Oryctolagus cuniculus: one gene and its partners. The protein of the gene in region 6 interacts with the protein of the main gene of each other region in a pairwise test. Links are inferred from orthologs where the notes say so. Each region holds a gene or a part of one and is shown on either strand. Other genes may lie near its edges.

What was found.
Region 1: the proteins of PSMA3 (region 6) and ZNF366 interact in binary tests that used the Homo sapiens proteins (3 or more experiments, as listed by UniProt). The link is inferred for Oryctolagus cuniculus from reciprocal best matches to the Homo sapiens genes PSMA3 and ZNF366.
Region 2: the proteins of PSMA3 (region 6) and DMC1 interact in binary tests that used the Homo sapiens proteins (3 or more experiments, as listed by UniProt). The two-hybrid records come from large-scale screens. The link is inferred for Oryctolagus cuniculus from reciprocal best matches to the Homo sapiens genes PSMA3 and DMC1.
Region 3: the proteins of PSMA3 (region 6) and AURKB interact in a two-hybrid assay, tested with the Homo sapiens proteins (2 studies listed by BioGRID and IntAct). The link is inferred for Oryctolagus cuniculus from reciprocal best matches to the Homo sapiens genes PSMA3 and AURKB.
Region 4: the proteins of PSMA3 (region 6) and ZNF385C interact in a two-hybrid assay, tested with the Homo sapiens proteins (2 studies listed by BioGRID). The two-hybrid records come from large-scale screens. The link is inferred for Oryctolagus cuniculus from reciprocal best matches to the Homo sapiens genes PSMA3 and ZNF385C.
Region 5: the proteins of PSMA3 (region 6) and FBXO7 interact in binary tests that used the Homo sapiens proteins (3 or more experiments, as listed by UniProt). The two-hybrid records come from large-scale screens. The link is inferred for Oryctolagus cuniculus from reciprocal best matches to the Homo sapiens genes PSMA3 and FBXO7.

What each region holds. Positions count from the first base shown.
Region 1 is NC_091445.1:38,517,718-38,521,217, reverse strand, and holds part of ZNF366 (zinc finger protein 366), read right to left. Parts: intron 2,363-3,500; coding exon 2,171-2,362; intron 1-2,170. UniProt on the Homo sapiens protein: Has transcriptional repression activity. Acts as a corepressor of ESR1; the function seems to involve CTBP1 and histone deacetylases.
Region 2 is NC_091442.1:115,181,807-115,185,306, forward strand, and holds part of DMC1 (meiotic recombination protein DMC1/LIM15 homolog), read right to left. Parts: intron 2,330-3,500; coding exon 2,238-2,329; intron 1,877-2,237; coding exon 1,803-1,876; intron 1,674-1,802; coding exon 1,559-1,673; intron 1,211-1,558; coding exon 1,150-1,210; intron 1-1,149. UniProt on the Homo sapiens protein: Participates in meiotic recombination, specifically in homologous strand assimilation, which is required for the resolution of meiotic double-strand breaks.
Region 3 is NC_091448.1:52,686,645-52,688,682, forward strand, and holds the end of AURKB (aurora kinase B), read right to left. Parts: intron 2,028-2,038; coding exon 1,879-2,027; intron 1,118-1,878; coding exon 943-1,117; intron 814-942; coding exon 640-813; 3' UTR 501-639; downstream 1-500. UniProt on the Homo sapiens protein: Serine/threonine-protein kinase component of the chromosomal passenger complex (CPC), a complex that acts as a key regulator of mitosis.
Region 4 is NC_091448.1:20,728,216-20,731,625, reverse strand, and holds part of ZNF385C (zinc finger protein 385C), read right to left. Parts: intron 3,366-3,410; coding exon 3,255-3,365; intron 2,011-3,254; coding exon 1,842-2,010; intron 294-1,841; coding exon 1-293.
Region 5 is NC_091442.1:110,387,761-110,392,022, forward strand, and holds the start of FBXO7 (F-box only protein 7), read left to right. Parts: upstream 1-1,462; 5' UTR 1,463-1,710; coding exon 1,711-1,832; exon of another isoform or gene 1,833-1,985; coding exon of another isoform or gene 1,986-2,013; intron 2,014-4,262. UniProt on the Homo sapiens protein: Substrate recognition component of a SCF (SKP1-CUL1-F-box protein) E3 ubiquitin-protein ligase complex which mediates the ubiquitination and subsequent proteasomal degradation of target proteins and plays a role in several biological processes such as cell cycle, cell proliferation, or maintenance of chromosome stability.
Region 6 is NC_091443.1:18,546,489-18,549,546, forward strand, and holds the end of PSMA3 (proteasome subunit alpha type-3), read right to left. Parts: exon of another isoform or gene 2,372-3,058; coding exon 2,325-2,371; exon of another isoform or gene 1,276-2,324; coding exon 1,208-1,275; exon of another isoform or gene 984-1,207; coding exon 919-983; exon of another isoform or gene 644-918; coding exon 599-643; 3' UTR 501-598; downstream 1-500. UniProt on the Homo sapiens protein: Component of the 20S core proteasome complex involved in the proteolytic degradation of most intracellular proteins. This complex plays numerous essential roles within the cell by associating with different regulatory particles.

The DNA of each region.
Region 1 (3,500 bases), on a different chromosome or scaffold from region 6:
CATTGTAAAGTGTAGCCTGTGCATCATTCCACGGCCAGCAACCCATGTTATAGAACACCCTTTGATGGGATCTGGTGGTATGGGTCAAGCATCGAAGGTCCAGCCAACCCTCTAAGTCTAGGAAGAGGTGAAATGGAATTTCTGAACCGTGGAGTACCTATCAGCTACCCTCTAAACCCTGTATGGTGCCCCACGATTGGAGTGGAGGAGGAGGGGGCCCAGGTTCAAGATGGGAGGCCTTACACGTCCTGCTAGGAGGCATCACGGGGCCCAGCGTGCCTTGAGCTGGGCAGACTTCTGAGCACTGGTCCCAGAGAGAGCCCTCCAGCTCCTCAGTTACTACCTGGGTCCAGGAAATCTTCCAGGGATTCCGAGGGTAGAGAAGCAGAAGGGACCCTGTGCTCCCAAATCCTGCACAACCTGCGTTGGCTCTGGCCCCTGACCACATCCCCTGCATTTCAGGGACACGTCTGACCTGGGTGCACCCTTCAGGCTGGGCCCGAATAGCAGAGGCAGGGGCAGGAGATAGGTAGGCTACACAGCTGTGGATTGTTAGGGGACTAGGACTATGCTAATGGCTCCCTTCATAGTTAGACAGCCTTACTTCACCACTGGCTGAAAGGATAAGAAAAAATGCAGTTCGTGCTTGCAGTCCAGGAATCCATTCAACAGCAGGAATGAAGAATGGCAGAGATCCTGCCAGGTGTGAAACACTCTGGGGGCCTAGTGCAACGGGAGGAAATCAGAGAGAGAAGGGGTGGGCTGCGGAGCCCGGTGCGTGCCACCACGGTGGGCTCCTAGCTGTGCGGCACGGCTCACAGCTCAGGAGGGTCCTGAGTTCGGCTTAAGCCTCTGCTTTTGCCATCTTAAATGTCTTGTTAACGTTCCAACAAGAAGCTGTGCATCGTGGCATCTCCACTTTGCACTGGCCCCTGAAAACGAAAGCATTCATCCTGCTCGCAGCTTCCTCCTCCCCTCGCTTGACGGACTCCAGATGGACATAAACTGACTTTCAAACCACTGGAAGCTTGAAGAAAAGGAAGGGAAACAGAAGTGGGTGGCAGGAAAGGGCTGGAGGGAGAAGCCTCCCTGTCCCATGTCCAGACAATGCCCACGCGGGTCGAGGGAAGCTCTGGCGTCTGACCCCTCACCCCGCCCCAGAGTTGCCAACACAGGAAAGAAGGCGGCTTCACAGGGGGTTCCTCCGAGTGCGGGGCGCGCTGCGAGCGGTCAAGGCAGGAGCAGCCTGGATGCGGGAACCCAGCGTCCGGGACGTGGAGCAACAGGGGTCGAGCAGGCGCTAACACTGCGTGCACGTGGCGATGTCCCCTTCTCCCTTCTTGGCACTCTGTCCCTGACTGGGATGACACGTGCTGGGACATGCCTTGAATCAGATGCCCAATTGGGAGCAAGAGTCCCCTCATTTGGGAAGCGAAGAAGGGAAACAATGCTGGGGAAGCCTCTGGAAACCTCCAGAAGCCCGAGCGTTTCTGAGTGCCACGCTCAGAGATCTGCAGCTCATGCATTTCCCAGTGGATGGAGTGAAATCCAACAGGGTTAATCCAACACTGAACTTTAACTAAGCCGCAGAATCCCTGTGCCCGCGGTACTGAGGACTAAATAAAGAACTCTCCAGAAAGGACCCAGCTCACTGTGAACCCTCAGTCCAAGCAAGCAGTCCTGAGGTCCGCCAAGGAGCTGGTTTCAGAGTCCCTGGACCCACGCTGGGAGGCCGGTCCTCAAATTATATCTCAGCCCAACTGTCAGGAGGCAGCTGTTCTAGAAGCTTCCTGACGCCTTCCTCTGTTTGACTCATTGTCTTGTGACAGGAAGAAGGCAACAACTGGTGTCCCCCATCTAGAACAAGGGTCTTCCACAAGCCCCTCCACCCTCTAACAACCTCATTCCCCATGTGCATCTCCCACCCCTCCTGCCTGCCTGCACCCCTGGGCACAGCGGGACAGGCAGGGCAGACTCCTCACAGACGCCCAGAGCTGCGGCAAGCCTTGATGGGGTGGACCAAGGGACAGAGCAGCAGAAGGGAGCTGGGGCTGGCCACGGATCTTCTCTGAGCCTCTGTGACGCCACTGATGAGATGGGGTTGGAGCTCCCCGGAGTGCCTTCCCCGCCAGGCATGTGCACAGCCCCCGCCCCACCTCCCGGGGCCCACCTTGCACTTGAACGGCTTCACGTCGGAGTGGACGATCATGTGCGCCTTGAGGGTCTGCTTCTGCACGAAGCTCTTGTAGCAGAGGTGGCACTGGTAGGCGCGGATGTTGGTGTGGATCAGCACGTGTCTCTTCATGTTGGCCAACAGGGTGAACTCCCGCCCGCAGATGCCACACTTGTGCTCCTTCACGCCCTGCACAGAGGCGAGATTCCAAAAAGCAGCAGTTAGCCAGCTGCGCGCTCTCAGGAGAGCCAGACGTCAGCACTCTCCCAGCCACAGGAGCCCAGTCACAAAGAGCCAAGTGCCAAATGACGTGGCTTCAGCCCTGTGAAACCACTATTTTCCTTTCTTTAAGAGGTGTTCATTTATTTGAAAGTCAGAGTTACAGAGAGAGGGAGGGAGGGGAAGAGAGAAAGTAAAAGACTGAAAGAGAGAGAGAGAGAGAGAGAGATCTTCCATCCACTGTTTCACTCCCCAAGTGGCTGCAAAGGATAGGGCAAAGCCAGGCAGAAGCGAGGAGCCAGGAGCTTCTTCTGAGTCTTCCACGTGGGTGGTGGGGACCGTCTCCCATCGCTTTCCCGGGCCATTAGCAGGGAGCTGGATTGGAAGTGGAAGCAGCTAGGACTTGAACTGGCACCCATATGGGATGCCAGCATTGCAGGATGTGGCTTTACCTACTACACCACAATGCTGGCCCCCAAAGTCACCATCTTCTTGAAGAGTGTTGATTATGTAGTCTTTTATTTCTGCTGCAGACTATAAACTAGCTGGGCCACAGCAGGAAAAGAAAGCTCTAGCTTTTGTTGTTTTCTCTGCTGCTGATGCTGATGCTGGGGTTAATTCTACAGTAACAGTTCTCAGGGCTCAACAGGATTTGGGTAAGAGCATTCTAGAATGGTACGCAAAATAAATCTATAATCCAGCTTGCATGCTGATGAAAAAACATCATTTAGACTGGTATTATCATTTCCCATAGGAGAGCCAGCATCCTTCTGAGTTCTCCTAAGTGAACTTGAACATCCCAGAAGAAAAACTCTCATGTGCACCCCAATCAGCACTTGGCAGTCACCCTCTCCAGTTGGGTCCCCTGGGTTCCCTCAGCTCAGTCTGGGCTATGTGTCACGGGGGTCTGGAGCTGCTGGAAGGCAGGTACTTCCGACACAGACATTCTGCAGGGGTGGGTTTCTGAATTAGGAAAGAGGACAGGAGGTTTTCTGGTGTCCTTGCTGCTTGTGGAGAAACGTTTGCACACTCAAGCAACTGAGAGGATTTCTAGGACTTCTGGCTTGGGGAGAACATGAGCTCATTCTGACTAGCCATCACTGCTTCC
Region 2 (3,500 bases), on a different chromosome or scaffold from region 6:
TCCTCTCACTGGGCTTCCTTTATAAAGATACCTCATGTTCACACTGTAGAAAATCTGCTTTTTTTGTTTTGGGCTCACAGCCTATCAGTGCAATAGAAGGCATTGATGTATTTGGAATATAATTTCATTTCCCTAGCGTCCTTTTCTTATTATCCTCCAATATCCTTCAGCTTTAGATTAAAGAAGAGCTCAAAACACTGCTGAAAATGATTTACTTTTTACAGAGGTAGAGAAAATGGACTCTAGATAACAAATAAGTGGTTCAAAGGGTGTTACAAAAAAGCTTGTCAAAAATACACATTAACTTTTTTTTCTTTTTCACAGGCTGAGTTAGACAGTGAGAGACAGAGAGAGAGAGAGAGAGAGAGAGAAAGGTCTTCCTTCTGTTGGTTCACCCCCAAAATGGCCGCCACAGTCGGCATGCTGCGCTGATTCGAAGCCAGGTTCAGGGCCCAAGCACTTGGGCCATCCTCCACAGCCTTCCTGGGTGACAGCAGAGAGCTGGACTGGAAGATGAGCAACCGGGACAGAATCCGGCGCCCCAACCGGGAATAGAACCCAGAGTGCTGGCGCTGCAGGCGGAAGATTAGCCTAGTGAGCCGTGGCAAAGGCCCACATTAACTTTTAACTCAACTTTTCCATAAAATTTTGAAGCCCCTTCACATCTGCAATTATGAAGTGATATGCATGTGTACTAAAATTATGTGTGATAGATCTGTGCACACATCAAGGCTAATTATTTTGAAATTTTTTAATTCAAAAAATTAACTAATTAATTAATTTGAAAGGCAGACAGAGAGGCAGATAGAAATATCCTATCTTATGGTTCACCCTGTAAATGACCACACACAGCCAGGGTTGGGTCAGGTCCAAGCCAGAATCCAATAACTTAATCCAGGTCGCCATGTGGGTAGCAGGGACCCAATCACTTGAGCCATCACCAGCTATCTCCCAGGGGCCACATTAGCAGGAAGTTGGAATTGGGGCAGAGTTGGGACTTGAACCCAGGCACTGCTTTACAGGATATGGATGTCCCAAGCAGAATCTTAACCACTATGCCAAACGCCTACTCCCTGAAATTATTTTCTATTTTACACTCTAACATCTTGATATTAACCACCGTGAAATACAAAAGCAGAATAGGCTTACGTCATAGTCGCTCCCGGATCGGCAGTCATTTGATTGGTCACAAAAACAGCCACGTTGTATTCTGTATCAAAAAAAAAAAAAAAAAAAAAAAAAAGCTAAGAGAAGGGAAATACAAATATAAAACATTCATTGTAGATTTTGGTATTTAGAACATCGTACTATAGATTTATTTTAGAAACAAGATCACATTCCTGTTTTTCTCACTGATAATATAAGTCAACTTATTTAAAGTTATTGTTATTATTTAGGTTAGGATCAGTCTTTTTGGTAAAAAATATGTATTCCCATAAAGGTAATTTTATTTTTTTAAGAAGTATTGCCTCCTGACACTCTGAACGTCTCTGCAAGCACACCTAAAACACAGTCACAGATGCTACTCTGATAGAGCCATTCTATTTTAAAAATCTACCTTCTGAGATTTTTTGGAGTCGTGACAACATCTGGGCCAATTTTTGCTGCCTTTCAGCCAACTCCCCACGACCACTGAAATCCACTCGAAAAAGTGCCATTATTGAATCAATGATCTGCACAGGGTTGATGTAAAAATAAATAAGTTTATGGAATTGGAAGGAAGAAATTAATTTGGATAGGAATCAACAGAACAGTAATATGCTAAAGAGCTCTGTGAGTGAGCAATACTTAGAAGCTTGTACCAATAGCTTGAAGATGCCAGCTTCCTCATGGAACTTTGCAGCTACATAATCAAGTAGCTCCATCTGATGTTCACCTGGTGGGAAATACAGCGAGAAAATGTTCTAAGAGCTAGAAGCAGAGGCTAAGATCACTTATGTCCTTGGGAGCCATGCAAAAGAATCCTGGAAGGATTCTCTTAATGATTTATGACTTTATTAAATATGACAATTTATCAAAAAATGCTACTCTGCCTTTCACAGACAATGAATAAGAAATAATTTGAGGGTATTTTAATATCCAAGAACTTACCAGCTATTAAAATTTGTGGACTGAATTAATTTTATTTTAAAATAAAAAGATAAAAGGACAGTGTCAAAATATTTAGTATAATCAATTAGTAAATCAGTGCTTCCAACCTTATGATAACCCACACACCCAGCTGCATGGGCTCTTACTAGTATATGCACGTGCATAGAGTACGTTGTCCAGCACAGCATCATGGTCCACATTGAAGCGATCAGCAATGTCCCGAAGGCGATCCGGACGACTGCAGCAGCCAAGATTAAGGATTCAATGAGTCAATTGCAGAACAACTTAGACAACAACTACAAAACATCCTACCTTAAGTAAGTAAATTAAAAGAATGGTAAAACAATATACCTGCAGAGATATTCTAGAGGATGCTAATCATTACTTACAGTCTACATTATATTTTATTTTTCATAAATGCCTCAAATTCTCATAGAAATGATAACACTCATAGAAATGATGAGGCAGTAATGAATTTAAATATTAAATTTTGGGGTAGGCATTGTGGTGCACTGGGTTAAACCACCCTTTGGGACACTCACATCACATGTTGGAGTGCCTGGGGTCTAGTTTCATCTCCACTTCAGATCCAGTTTCCTGCTAACATGCCTGGGAGGCAGCATCTGATAGCCCAAGTACTTGGATTCCTGCCACCCATGAGAGAAGACCTGGATGGAGTTCTGGGCCCCTGTCAGCCTGGCCCAGTCTTGGCTGTAATGGGCATTTGAGGAATGAACTAGTGAACTCTCTCGTTTTGTCTATCACTCTGACATCCAAGTAAATAAATAAATAAATAAATAAATAAATAAATTTTAAAATAAATATTGAATTATCAGCAGGCATTTAGCCTAGCAGTTAAGACAAAACCTTTCTCCAGGATTCGATTCCTGGCTCTAGCTCCTGAATCCAACTTCCTACTAATGGAGATCCTAGGAGGAGGCAGTGATGGTGAGTCAAGCAGCCAAGCTCCTGCCGTCCATGTAGGCCCAGACTGAATTCCCAGCTCTCACTGCAGTAACTGGGGAGTGAACCAGTATATGGGATCTCTCTCTAATAAATAATTCAAAAAAAGTTAAATTATCAAATTTTACAATGCATGTAAGCTGGTTGGTATGGCCTATGTAACGTTTTACAAGTGAGGACACTGCCAGAGATTAGGTACATGACCGAAGATTATGCAGCAAGTCAGTTACAAGAGAAAAGCTAGAAACTAAGGTGTGTGAGTCTCTTTTGTTCTCAGTTCTATAAAAAATAGATCTATTCTAGAAATATATCACTGAGTTATAACTCAAGTCATTTTAAAGTGAAATAATTCGCTCTTCACACTTCTCATCTGTTCAGTATGAAATAGTTTAATATATCATTAATCATGTATTGCCAACAAATGATAAATACGACTGCAGGAACTA
Region 3 (2,038 bases), on a different chromosome or scaffold from region 6:
TCTTTCAAAAATATTTTTTAAAAATCTTAAAAAAAATATCCATCAAGGCCAGCAAGCATCATACGTAACAGTGAGACCTAACATCAGTAACAAGACCCCATCACTGCTCGTCCGTCCCCTCCCCTTCCATCTTGGCCAGAGGAGTAAAACGAACAACTTCTAGGGCATAGCCACGTTCAGTCACTCCTAGGTCGGTGGGCAAAGGGGAACAGAATAACCAGGAGAGAGAAAAACCAGAGGTCAGACAATCGACTGGCGGGAGAGGTGGGTGGTGTTTGAGCACAGTGAGGGCATCTGAGGTCTCCCAACACCCCCAGGCTCTGGGGCTCTGAGTCTGAGCAGGGGAAAGAAATGGCCGGGGGGGTGACGGTGGCTGGGATCTGGGAGGGCGAGCTCTTACCGGGGGAAGTGACCCAGTATCCCTTGCACCAGCTGGGGCAGGCAACCTCTCCTACCCACAGGGAACCGTCGCCTCCACCCAGAGACATCTACACTCAATGTACAAAAGCCTCGGCTTTTATTAAAAAGGAGGTAGAAGACAGATAAGGGAACAGGCCAGACTCCCTCCTTCCCCCTACACACACAAACACACACACACACACACACACACACACAACACTGAGTGAATGACAGGGTCCATCAGGCGACAGACTGCATGGCCGAGGGAGGCAGCACCCGGCGAGAGTGGGCCCGGACCCAAGGGTGGGCTGAGACCTGGGCCAAGGTCAGCCGATCGGAGGGGTTGTGCCTGAGCAGCTTGGAGATAAGGTCCTGGGCCCCCGCGGGCACAGAGGCGGGGAACTTCAGGTCCACCTGCAGGAGGGGAGAAAGGAGCAGAAACCGCCTGTGTTCCACCCCAGTGGCCACAAAGACCCGCGCGTCCAACCCTGCCCTCCCCAGCCCCTGGCCTCTGCAGCCTGGAGCGCCGGCAGCGTGACCCACCTTGACGATGCGCCGGTATGTCTCGTTGTGTGATGCGCTCTCAAAGGGCGGGTTCCCCACCAGCAGCTCGTAGCAGAGCACCCCGATGCACCACAAGTCCACCTTCTCATTGTGCGTGCGCCCCTCAATCATCTCGGGGGGCAGGTAGTCTAGGGTGCCACACATCGTCTTCCTCCTGTGGGATGAAGGGCATGCCAGGGGTCCTGGGACCAGGCAACCATGCTCATCCACCCTCTCCCCCCCAGGCAGCCAAGAGACCCTGGGAGGCAGCAGGGGAGTGCTCCATCCAGGTCACGCCTCTGGGGATGGGGTGGGCCGGTGGCCTCCACATTGCCCCCCAGTACTTCCACTGGGGGACTAAAACAGATAAGGCAGGAGGGCAGTGCTGACGTGGGGAAGAAACCCTGGAGGCCTCTCTCATGCCCGCCAAGCGGGTTCTGCTTAAGTAGCTCGGGGTGCTTCTCCACTGGCATTAGAAATGAAGGGTGGGCCGGCGCCGCGGCTCACTAGGCTTATCCTCCGCCTGTGACGCCGGCACATCCGGGTTCTAGTCCCGGTCGGGGTGCCAGATTCTGTCCCGGTTGCCCCTCTTCCAGGCTAGCTCTCTGCTGTGGCCAGGGAGTACAGTGGAGGATGGCCCAAGTGCTTGGGCCCTGCACCCCATGGGAGACCAGAAGTACTGGGCTCCTGGCTTCGGATCAGCGCGGTGCACCGGCTGCAGCGTGCCGGCCGCGGCGGCCATTGGAGGGTGAACCAACGGCAAAGGAAGACCTTTCTCTCTGTCTCTCACTGTCCACCCTGCCCGTAAAAAAAAAAAAAAAAAAAAAAAAAAGAAGGGTGGGAAGCACCTGGGGTCAGAACTATGCGTCTCCTACTTTCCTACCGGGATTGCCCAGAGGTGCCGCCTGCCAGGGCCGGCTTCCCAGCGCCACGTACCGCAGGGAGGGCGCGTGCACAGACCAGCCGAAATCCGCGATCTTCAGCTCCCCCTGCAGCCCCAGGAGCAGGTTCTCCGGCTTGATGTCCCTGTGAATCACTTTCTTCTCGTGGCAGTAGCGCAGGGCATCTGCCAGCTCCTCCATGATCTGGGAGGGCG
Region 4 (3,410 bases), on a different chromosome or scaffold from region 6:
TGTGTTGTGAGCCTGAAGCTGGGAGGCTGAATTCACCGTGACCTTACACGTGGGGCAGTAGAGACGCTCCTTCTCACCCCTGCCGTCCCCACTCACGCCGCTTCCCACGGCCGCCGCTGTCGGCTCGGGGCCTAGCGCCTCTCTCCCAGGTTCTGGGGAACAGGGTGGGCAGGAGGAAGAAGAGGAAGAGGAGGCGGCATCCAAGAGGTCTGAGTGGGCTGGCTCTCCTGATGTGGGGTCCGGGGTCGACGGTAGCTGGAGTGGAGGGCCAAGAGGAGGGGTTGCAGGAGCTGCTGCGGAGATGGGAGGCATCGGTGAGGGGGGAGGCCCAAGATGATTCTGGAACCCAGGATACTAAGCACTGCCAACGGAGGGGACGGCGTAGGGCCAAAGGGTCCCTGGTGCAGGCATGACCAAGGCCGCGTTCCCCCCTCCCTAGGCAGACTCAGGCCTCCTGGGCCTCAGTTTCCCTGTCTAAAACCATAAACTTGAACAGAGTAGTCTCAGCCCCCACATCCCTGACTGCCTAATTATTTGCTAAAATTGCCAAGCAGCAATCACCTAAAAGATATTCTAGAATGTTCAGAGACCACTATTCATAACAGCATAAAATTAAAACTCCAAAGATCCATCAATAAGAGATTTAGATTTAAAAGGAGGCCGGCGCCGCGGCTCACTAGGCTAATCCTCCGCCTAGCGGCGCCGCCACACCAGGTTCTAGTCCCGGTCGGGGCGCCAGATTCTGTCCCGGTTGCCCCTCTTCCAGGTCAGCTCTCTGCTGTGGCCAGGGAGTGCAGTGGAGGATGGCCCAGGTGCTTGGGCCCTGCACTCCATGGGAGACCAGGAAAAGCACCTGGCTCCTGGCTCCTGCCATCGGATCAGCGCGGTGCGCCGGCCACAGTGCGCCGGCCGCGGCGGCCATTGGAGGGTGAACCAATGGCAAAGGAAGACCTTTCTCTCTCTGTCTCTCTCTGTCTCTCTCTGTCTCTCTCACTGTCCACTCTGCCTGTCAAAAAAAAAAAAAAAAAAAAAGGAATAGCGCTGTGATCACAAATGGAATACTGCACAGCAACAAAAAAGGACCAGCGACTACAATACACCCAGTGTGAATGAACCTTACAGGTGTTATGAATGCTGGTGAACATTCATGAGATGAACAAAAGCCAGACACAGAAACCAACAAACACTAGGATTCAACAAAACCAAGTGGAATGCACTGGTGGTGAGAAAAACCCAGGTCACAGTTAACCTGGGGATGGGGGTACGGCCGGTTGACCAGTTTCTCTCCAAGTCTACCTGGGACTGCAGAACATGACTTTCTTTGGAAATATGAGTGCCAATGAGGGCATGCTGGATTAGGGCAGGACTGATCCAGTGACTGGCGTGCTGATGAGAAGGTCACACGGAGGCACAGACGCGCAGGGGACTGGGGCCGGGATTGGAGGCCTTGTGTGTAAGCCAAGGAATGCTGAGGACGCTGGGCCCCGCCCAGAGCAGCACGGCTGCCAGAGGTGCACTTTGAGCCCGTGAGGAGGAACCAGCCCCGCCCACACCTCGACTCTGGGCTTTCCAGCTCCAGAACGGCGTGGAAACACGTGTGTTGTTTTCCAACATGCGGAAGTGAACACAGCAAGGAAACGACTGGGAGGTGACCCCAGGACCAGCTTCATGGTACCGGTGACACAGTTCCCGATCCGAGTGTGTTAGGACTGGGGCAGCCCGCTGAGCAGTACACGGGCAAGATGCTGACTGCACGAGCCCAGAAAACCCGCAGAAGGTTCTCAACTCCTGGTTGGGAACCAGACTTGGCAGGGGGCGGGGAACAAGCGTTCAGGACTGACCTTTGCTCTGTGGCTCTCTGGGGGCTCCACTGGCCGGAGTTGGGGTTGGGGACGCCGCAGCCGCCCCATCCTGGGCCGGGGTTGGTGGCCTCTGCTTGTTCTTGGCAGCTTCCACGGCCTTGAGCTTCCTGGCATGTTTGTGGCCTTTATAATGAGCCTCTGCCTGGTTCTGGGGAGCGGAAAGCATGGGGTCACCAAGCATTGGCTGAGTCCACCTGCTCTGTCCTTGAATGGGAACCGAGCAGGGGCAGGGTCCAAGGGAGGCAGGGCTCGGACCACACAAGGGGCAAATTCGTTTCATTGCCACCATCGTCACTGCAAATGTGTGGCGCTGAAGTTCCCAGAAGGTTGGCTCACACATGGACTCCCACGCAACCAGCCTCTGCTTTTGAAGTCTGGCTCAGCCACTCGCTGTGCATTTTGGGGCAAGTCAGTCCACCTGAGCCAGGGTTTCCTCATTCAGAAGCTTTGTGATGATCATCCTGACCTCTCAGCATTGTCAGAATTCAACGGGAATGTGAATTATAGGGGTTTTGCTTGTGCAGCAGGTACTCAATGGATGCTCGTTATCGAATGGATAAATGCACACACGACAGCAGAGAAGGCCTGATACTCTGGGGTATACACACTAACACATTCATCCCTCTGTTGATGTTTTTCAATAAGTGAACCTTTGCTGTCTGCCAGGCCCTGTGTCCAGCCTGCCAAGGACGTGGCCACTCCCTCAGGTGAGGTCTCCCTGTCCATCTCCTGCAGGACTCCTGTCGCTGTCCTCTGTCAACCAAGGGTCTCTACCTGTCGCTCCCCAGCCCCCCTGCCCCAGGCCTCCATGGTCCCTTCAACCACAGCAGCCGTGGCGGTATCTAGTTCGAAGCCCAGAGTTGCCCGGATAAAGTGCCTCCTCTACCTGGGTTGGGGTGGGCTGTGGTTCAAAGTCTGCAGGCCTTGGGATCAGACAGACCTGGGTTCAAATCCCAGCCTGGCAACTTACCAGGCAAATCACCTAACCTCTCTGAGTCTCGTGGCTCATCTGGAAAGTGGGGGCGATACCAGTGCCTTTACCTGTCACCTGGATGTCTCAAGAGGACGCCTGGGATGAGAGCCATAAGCACATTCTGTGACTTCTCAGGGGCTCAAAGAAACAGGGGTCACCCCGGGGCCTAGGGAGGGGAAGGGCAGTCTGCTCTCTTGCAGAAGGACCCAGAACATAGAGATGCAGAGAAGAGTGAGATGAAATCCCAGTGGGCTGTAAGGGGGTGAGGGATCCGGAGAGAGGAGAGGTAGGGACGATGACAGCACCAGGAGCACCTGTTCTGCAACCAGGGACGTCCCCCAGGCCTCTCCTGCCAAGACCCGGGCTCCAGCCCTCTCCCTGCCAGCCCTCCCACACCTGCGTCCACTCCTCCCTCTCACCGCTGAGTTGAACCTCAGGTGACAGATGTTACAGGAAATGAAGAGCTTCTTCTTCAGAGGGGAGGGGACCCCAAACGTGTGGCTGATGACAGCTTTCTGGACCGGGTCCATCTGCGAGGGGAGTGGAGGACACGATAATTCTGAGTCAACTCAGAA
Region 5 (4,262 bases), on a different chromosome or scaffold from region 6:
ACTCGATGACAGGAATGGCAGCCATTCTCCAGTGGTTCCTGGCTATGGTGGCAGCAGCTTCCTGCAGGGTAGTGTGTGTGACAACAACAATCCCGATTGTAGCAGTTTCTGCACCAGGCCAGTTTTACAGCATGGTTCTGAGCTTTGGTCTTGGAAGCTTCGCCTGGCACTACTTTCCCCATCTTCCCTCAATTCCCTGTAGAGTCACCCCTTTACTGTGTAGTCAGTCAGAGTTGGCTTCTAGTAGATTCCTCGGCTTCAAACGCTTTAGTGGCCTCCCATACATTCCAGCATGTGTCCAAATTGCTCAGCTCAAGGTGCTTCATTTCCTGGGATGTCCCTACTCTGTCCTGCACTGTGATCACTGTCACCCTGGTCCTAACACCCTTCCTCAATCCTATACTGCTTGCTACTATAAAGTCTACTGGGCAACCCTCCTCCACCTATACTTATCTCTATTAAACAAAAGCCATTTTTTTTTCACTCTGCTGCACAAGTTGATTCACTAAATCACAAATGGCATGGCCAGGGCAGGAACACGGCTCTTTGGTTTCTGTTTCTGGCACTTAGGCTGCGATCAGTCATCAACACGCAGAACGAAAGCCAGGATGTGGACAAGTGCTGCCACCTGTTGGCAGAGACGTACATGTGCAATCATTTGGACCACGGTCCTCACCCAAGGACCAGACTCGATGACATCCGGTCCCTCGCCCAAGTCATCGTCATCACCACTGTCAGAACCCCCAGGATGATCCCTGGTGGACCCCCAATCAACCCTGTCGGTATTCACGCCTCTGGGCTGATGCTCCCACGCTGAGGGGCTGGGTTTGTGACCAGAAGGCAGAAGCACTGGTGTGGGACTTCAGAGGCCAGGTGATAAGAGGCACGGTGGCTTTGACTTGGTCTCTCTCTTGGACGTCTCCCTCCGAGGCAAGCCAGCTGGCGCGCCTGGGCGGTTCGGGGGGGAAAGCCGAGGCCGCCCGCCGAGTCCTGAGCGTGAGCCGTCGCGGGGGTCGGCGCACCAGCCCATGTCCACCTCAGACGACAGCGGCCCCGGCCCACGTCTCAAGAGACCCTGAGGCAGGGCGATCCCGCCAGGCCACCCCAACTGTGGTTGCTGCTTTAAGCCGCTACGTTCCGGGGTGTCTGCTACCCAGTCTCCGACACAGACCCTCCAGTCGTAAACCCTTTCTTCACATTCTGCTGTGGCAGGAGCAAGTTAACCGGAGCCGCGGCTCAATCCAAGGAGCCTCAGCCCAAAAGTTTTCTCAGGAAACTGCCACGGCAGAAATGGGCAAGGAGCAGGTCCTTGAGCGGCGGCGACTTTCCAGCGCCCAGGTCCCGTCAGGCACCCCAGAGGGCGCCCGCACAGCCACCACCCCGGAAGTACGGCAGCCAGCGCGCCGGGCGGCAGAGTCGGCGCCTGCGCAGTGTGCGCCTCGCGCCCCCCACCTCCCAGGCAGTGCCGTTGCGCGCCGAGTCATCGATAGGAAGACTTCCGTACGGCCGGGGTCGCGTAGGCTGCCAGCTGCCCGCTCGCCGGGTGGGCTCCAGGGGGCGCCCTCGATAGAGGGGGCGGAGCGTTCGGGGTCGAGAGGCCGCGGCGGGGGACCTTGACCCGGTTACATCTGAACACCCGCACAGCCACGTAGTCGCCGCTCCAGGGAGGGTCGTCTCCCATTTATTTCCACCGTCCGGGTCCCCGCCGCCATGAAGCTGCGGGTGCGGGTTCAGAAGCGAACCTGGCCGGTGGAGGTGCCCGATGCGGAGCCGACGCTGGGGCAGCTGCGCGCGCACCTGAGCCAGGCCCTGCTGCCCACCTGGGGGTACAGGTACGCGCGGGGCCGCGGCGGGAGTGGCCCGCGGCGCGGGCGTGGCCGGGCGGAGCCGGGACACTCGGGGTGTCGCCTGCCCCCGGGGCGCGGGCACTGTGACGCGCGGGGCGCGCTGGGCTCTGCTGGCCGGGGTCGCGGCTCCTGGAGGACATGGCGCAGCCCCCCGGGGCCCTCCCGGGTGAGTGAGCGCTCGCGGCCTCGCGGGGAGCGAAACCGAGCCCTCAGCCTTGGAAACGAAACCGGGGGTGTGCACGGCCGGTGCGGGTTCCCGTCGGAAGTGAGGAGCGGGGGGCTCGGCCGGGCCGGGGTTCGGGGGTCGCCTCCGGGAACGCGCTGGGAGGGCAGAGTCTGCGCCCCTCCGGCTGCGCGGACGGGGCGCGCAGATTCGCGGCTCTCCCGACTTTCCTGGCTGCTTTTTATTTGCTGTTTATTGATTTTTGCCAACGTTGGCCTTCGCCGTGACCCTGGGCAGCCCGCAGTTTGGAGGCGATGAAGCTGAGAAAGGCTCCAGCTCCGTTGCTGGTTGACGGGGCTGCAGGGGAAGCCGCGTTCCGGGAACCACCGCTCTGGGGTCCTAGGGACCATGGCCGGGCGACACTGTTCTCAGCTGGCGAGCTGGGTTGGCTCAAAACAAAACTTGCCGAATTAACTTCTTTGATGGGGTTTCCGTTGTGTGCGTGCGCACACGTGCATCTCATTATTGTTTTTAAATGAGCACCGGTCTGAAAGGATGTGAAACCCAATATGATTGTTTGCCCAAGAGCCCAAGTTGGTTTCTCTTTCGGGTTTGTTTTTTGCAGTTCAGACTGGTTAAGTGGAACGAGTTTTAAGTTTCAGCTTTGAAAGTAAGCTCATTTTTTTCTGTACGTTCATTTTATAATAAACAGGTAGTTTTAAAATGTGTCCCTATGACATTATGTTTTTTTTCTTTTTTATTTAGTAAATATAAATTTTCAAAGTACAGTTAATGGATTACAATGGGACATTCTTATTTGTAAAGTGTCTTTACTAAGCAATTGCATCAAGGATTGCTATAAAACATTTTTGAAAAGCCTGGCGTTGCTAGAATTTCATTTTTCTGGTGAAGTTACCCGCCCCCGCCCCAATTTCAGAAAATGAAACCTTCAAGAAACTACATGTTACTCTAGAAGTAAGAGGGTGTTTCAGAATTTCTGAGAAAATGGCACTGAAATGTAAGTTCACTTTGGTACAACAATATTTTTGAAATCCACACTTTTGTTTCTTCATAATGCACGTTTTCTGTAGAGGCATGTGAAGCTGACATTTTTATTAAGCAGGCATTCATTACCTTTTCTAGAAATAGATATTTGCATGTGCAGCAGACTAGGTCCTGTTTAGAAAAACAAGCTGTTGCTGTGACAAATGCTCTCTAAACACCTAGTTCATTTGCGGTATCTTTTTCCTTTTCTGCCAGAACCAGGGTGGTGGTTTTATGGGCAGATGGCAGATTTTCAATGTTTGGTTTATTAAAGCATTTTGGAAAAAGAAGCAGAGTGACATCTTTTTCTTATAAGCAGGAATTCTCTACCAAAGACACTTTATTTGGCAAGAAAAAAATGTATTTCTGTGTGAAAGAAAGACAGATGAGTTGGTTCCAACACTTCTCAAAATGCAGCATTGTAGGAAATAGTGAAGGGAACATGGTTTTCAGAGGACTTTGTGTTTTGTTAACCTCTCAGGATTTATCCAGATTAGCCTTGCTGAGTGTCAGTGTCTCCTAAAACGTGTTGCGCTGGGTCGGTAACTATTCCTCACCACTGTGTGATGACAAAGGATGGTATTCGGCACAGCCCCAGGAATCCAGTGCAGAAAGGCCGGCAGTTCATTGCTTCAGGCTTGTGTTCTTAACTTGGGTGGCACTGAGTCTCTGGGTTTGTGCTGTCTTCCCTGTAAAAGGCATGTAACTGATCATCCATCCCTAGGAAGGTGAACTTGTACTGCAGTCTTCAACAGCGGGGGCTGGGATGAATTTGTACTCAGCTATCTCCACTTTTTGTGATTGCGAATATTCTTTTAGGATGTAGGTTCAGTATTTTGGGACCTATGTAGGCAAGCTGTCATTGAGTTAGGCATTCACTCTCATCTTTGTCTTCCCAACTAATGTTGGGAGGTTGGTATTTATTGTACAAATATATTATTTGCCAACTGCTGGAGATACTATTTGAAACTAGACGGACAAGATCTCTGATCTTATGCATCTTAAGTTCTAGTGGTAGGGGTGTGGGAGACAGGTAATAAACAATTAAATAACTGTTTTCAAATGGTGTTACAATAAAATTAAGCATGGGGATGGATTAGAGAGTGCTGGGGGCATCTCTGAGGCGGTGACACTGGAACTGACCTGGAAGAGCAGCTACAGCGGCCCAAAGGCTGCAGTGAGATTTTCCGAGTGGGGGGATGGAAAGC
Region 6 (3,058 bases):
CCAAATAGTTGAAACAGCTAGGCCTGGGCCAGGCTGAAGCCAGGAGGTAAGAATTCCATCTGGATTTTCCTACCAGGGCCTAACTGCTTGAGCCATCTTCTGCTATCTTCCCAAGCACATTAGCAGGGGGCTGGATCAGCGGTGGAGCAGCCAGGACTCAAACCAGCACTCAATGGGACAACCTGTTTGTTGTGCCTCACTCTGCCCCTCCTTCCCCCTGCAAACTGAAATTCTGTATCACATCTACAGTTTTAACTGTGGCTGGTGATCAACCATCATTTTACTAAATTATTTATGTGGGTAACACATGGATGCTCCTAGTGAAGCCCAGCAAAAATGAGATTTTTTAAAGGGATGGAATGGGGCTTTAAGTTTGATCCAAAGCCTCTATTTGCAATATTTTAACTAAGGAATTTTTAAGTAGCATATACCTTTATTTCAATATAAATGTTCTCAATCCCACCCATTTTGTCAAACAGATAGTAACCAAACTTCAGTAGTTACAAGACAAAAATTTAATGAAAATTGATCAGTGGGTTATTTATAATCCACAGGCTAAATATCACAAGACGGTAGTAGAAAGATGCGGAAGTAATTGTTACATATTGTCATCATCTGATTCATCTTCTTCCTTCAAAGATTCCTATTAAGAGAAAAAAGTAGCACTTAAAATCAACTTTAAATATTGTTACAGCCCACATGTAACAGCAAGTTAAGATACAGCAACCTGAATTTAAGCATTTATTAATGGTAACTGAAATTTAGGATGAAATTCAACTATATTCTTGTTCTGAAGATCAATGGATACTTGATGTATCCTGAAAAACCTTACAGTTTTCCCCAAGGGAAGAGCTGAATTTGGAAATCTGTTACTTAATTTGTTAAGTAACAATACATCATTTTGGTTAGGTGACTTACCTTAGCATATTTCTCTGCTTCTTCTCTTACATCTTTTGGAACAATTTCATGCCTTCCTTTAGTTACTGTAAATTAAGCCATATATTTAAATAAATTTAAAATGCTTTCCTATAAGTGATAGTCATTTGACCTTATTTTTTAAATGTTTCCTCATGAGATTTTATGTGCTCAAATTTTTATAAATTAATCCCAAGCATTAATTCATAGCATGAGATCAATTTTGGGCGATTTCTTAGATATTTCAAAAGAGATCTTCACAAACTCTGTTAAATACACAGAAATTACTTACATTCACCAACCCAGCTGAGCTCTAACTCAAAAGCTTTATCCTTAACTTCATCATGCACTATGTAAATTCTAGAAGGAAAAAACACTGGAGTCAGTGACCAAAACACTGCAGTTTACATACCCAGTCAGTACAAATTAGATTACCATCCATACCACAAGTTAAAATTATGTAGGCTGAAATCTGAATTACGAATATCAGAATAAGCTACAGAGGACTTGAAATAGACTGGAACACTTTCATTCTCCTCATAAATACTAAATGATAATTTGTTTGGCTTATTTTGATATACATTGCTTAAAAGCCATAAAAATCATCTCAAGAATACAGAAATGGGTAAAGTCAGGGTCACCACCTGAAGCCAGTAATGGGCAGGCAGCAGGTTCATGTCCCAGCTGCTTCACTCCAACCAAGCTCCCGGACATGAGAAAACCAATGGAAGATGGTTCACTACACAGAAGACCCAGATGAAGTTCCTGGCTTGAGCCTGGCCCACCACTGGCTGTTGCAGCCGTCTGGGGAGTATAAATCGATGCACGTGGAAAATAGTCTCATTTGTAACTCTTGAAATAAATCTTTAAAAACTTAAACATAAATGGGAACCAGGCCATCATTAACCATCCCTTCTCAGGACACTATTTTCTTTCATTAAGGAAATAAAGCCTAATAATTTATGTGCCCTATATAAGAACTTTTATTACATATCCGAAAAAGTAAAGCCTATATTTTTATATAAGTGAGCCAGCCTTATGGATCATGTATAGAAATAATTAACTTGTAAATCACACGATAAATAAAGTTTCTAAGCTTTCTTGGTAGTGTTTTGATTATTGTTATTTTGGGGATGTTGAGAGATTTGAGGTGGTGGAAGTTAACAAATGAAGCCCCTACGAACATTCACTATGTCCTTCACGCGTTAAATCCCGTTGCCCACACAGGAGCTTGTTTTCTCAGCATTCATTCTCATTCTTGAAATACTCATTTTCTTCATGAGGATTCTTAGAATGTTAAATTCTCTTCAAAAAATTACACACTGCTATTTTCAACCAAAATAGCCTCATATATATGCCAAGACAATGTGAAATATCTTTGTGTATAGTTAAGGAATATTTGAACTTACATTTTGGCAACTTCTTTAACAACATCACGGCAGGTCATTTCTTTCATCTACAGAAAATAAAATTATACATTTTCCATTTGTGTAACTGCACAACTGTTAGCACTAACTCATGGTCAAGATAGATTCTCAGATGTAAAAACAAAGAAATTCCAAAAAGATAAATTTCCTGATTTTTATTATTATTTTTAAATTAACATGCCAAAATTCATATTGGAGATAACCACTAATTTTCTGGTAAAACTTAGATAAGCCCAAGTCTAATTCTTAAGTAGACCCAGAGCAAAAGCTTGGTCATACTAGAATTCAACATACTTGGAGGGACTGTTGGGAAATCAGAATAGAAAAATAGCCTGTAAGCACTAACCATAACAAGTAAAGTAACCTGTAAGAAATCACTGCAAGAGATTTATTAATCATACACGTTTCAGGGTCAACGCAAAGTCTGAGCAAAGTGACATTTGTGTTGTGGATACCTTGAGATAGAGAACGTCAGAGAGTACTGAACACAGTAATCCAGACTTAAATGTCGTTCAATTACTGCAAATGGGGTTCATGATTTTTACTAATTCATTTTAGAAATCCTAAAGTTCAAATGATAGCTGTACAACCATCTGAGGAAGAAAAACACAACCCTAACACTGAGTTTAAGGATACAAATCTTGGGGCTGGCATTGTGGTAAGGCAGGTTGATCTGTTGCCTGCAACACTGGCATCCCATATGGGTGCTGGTTCAA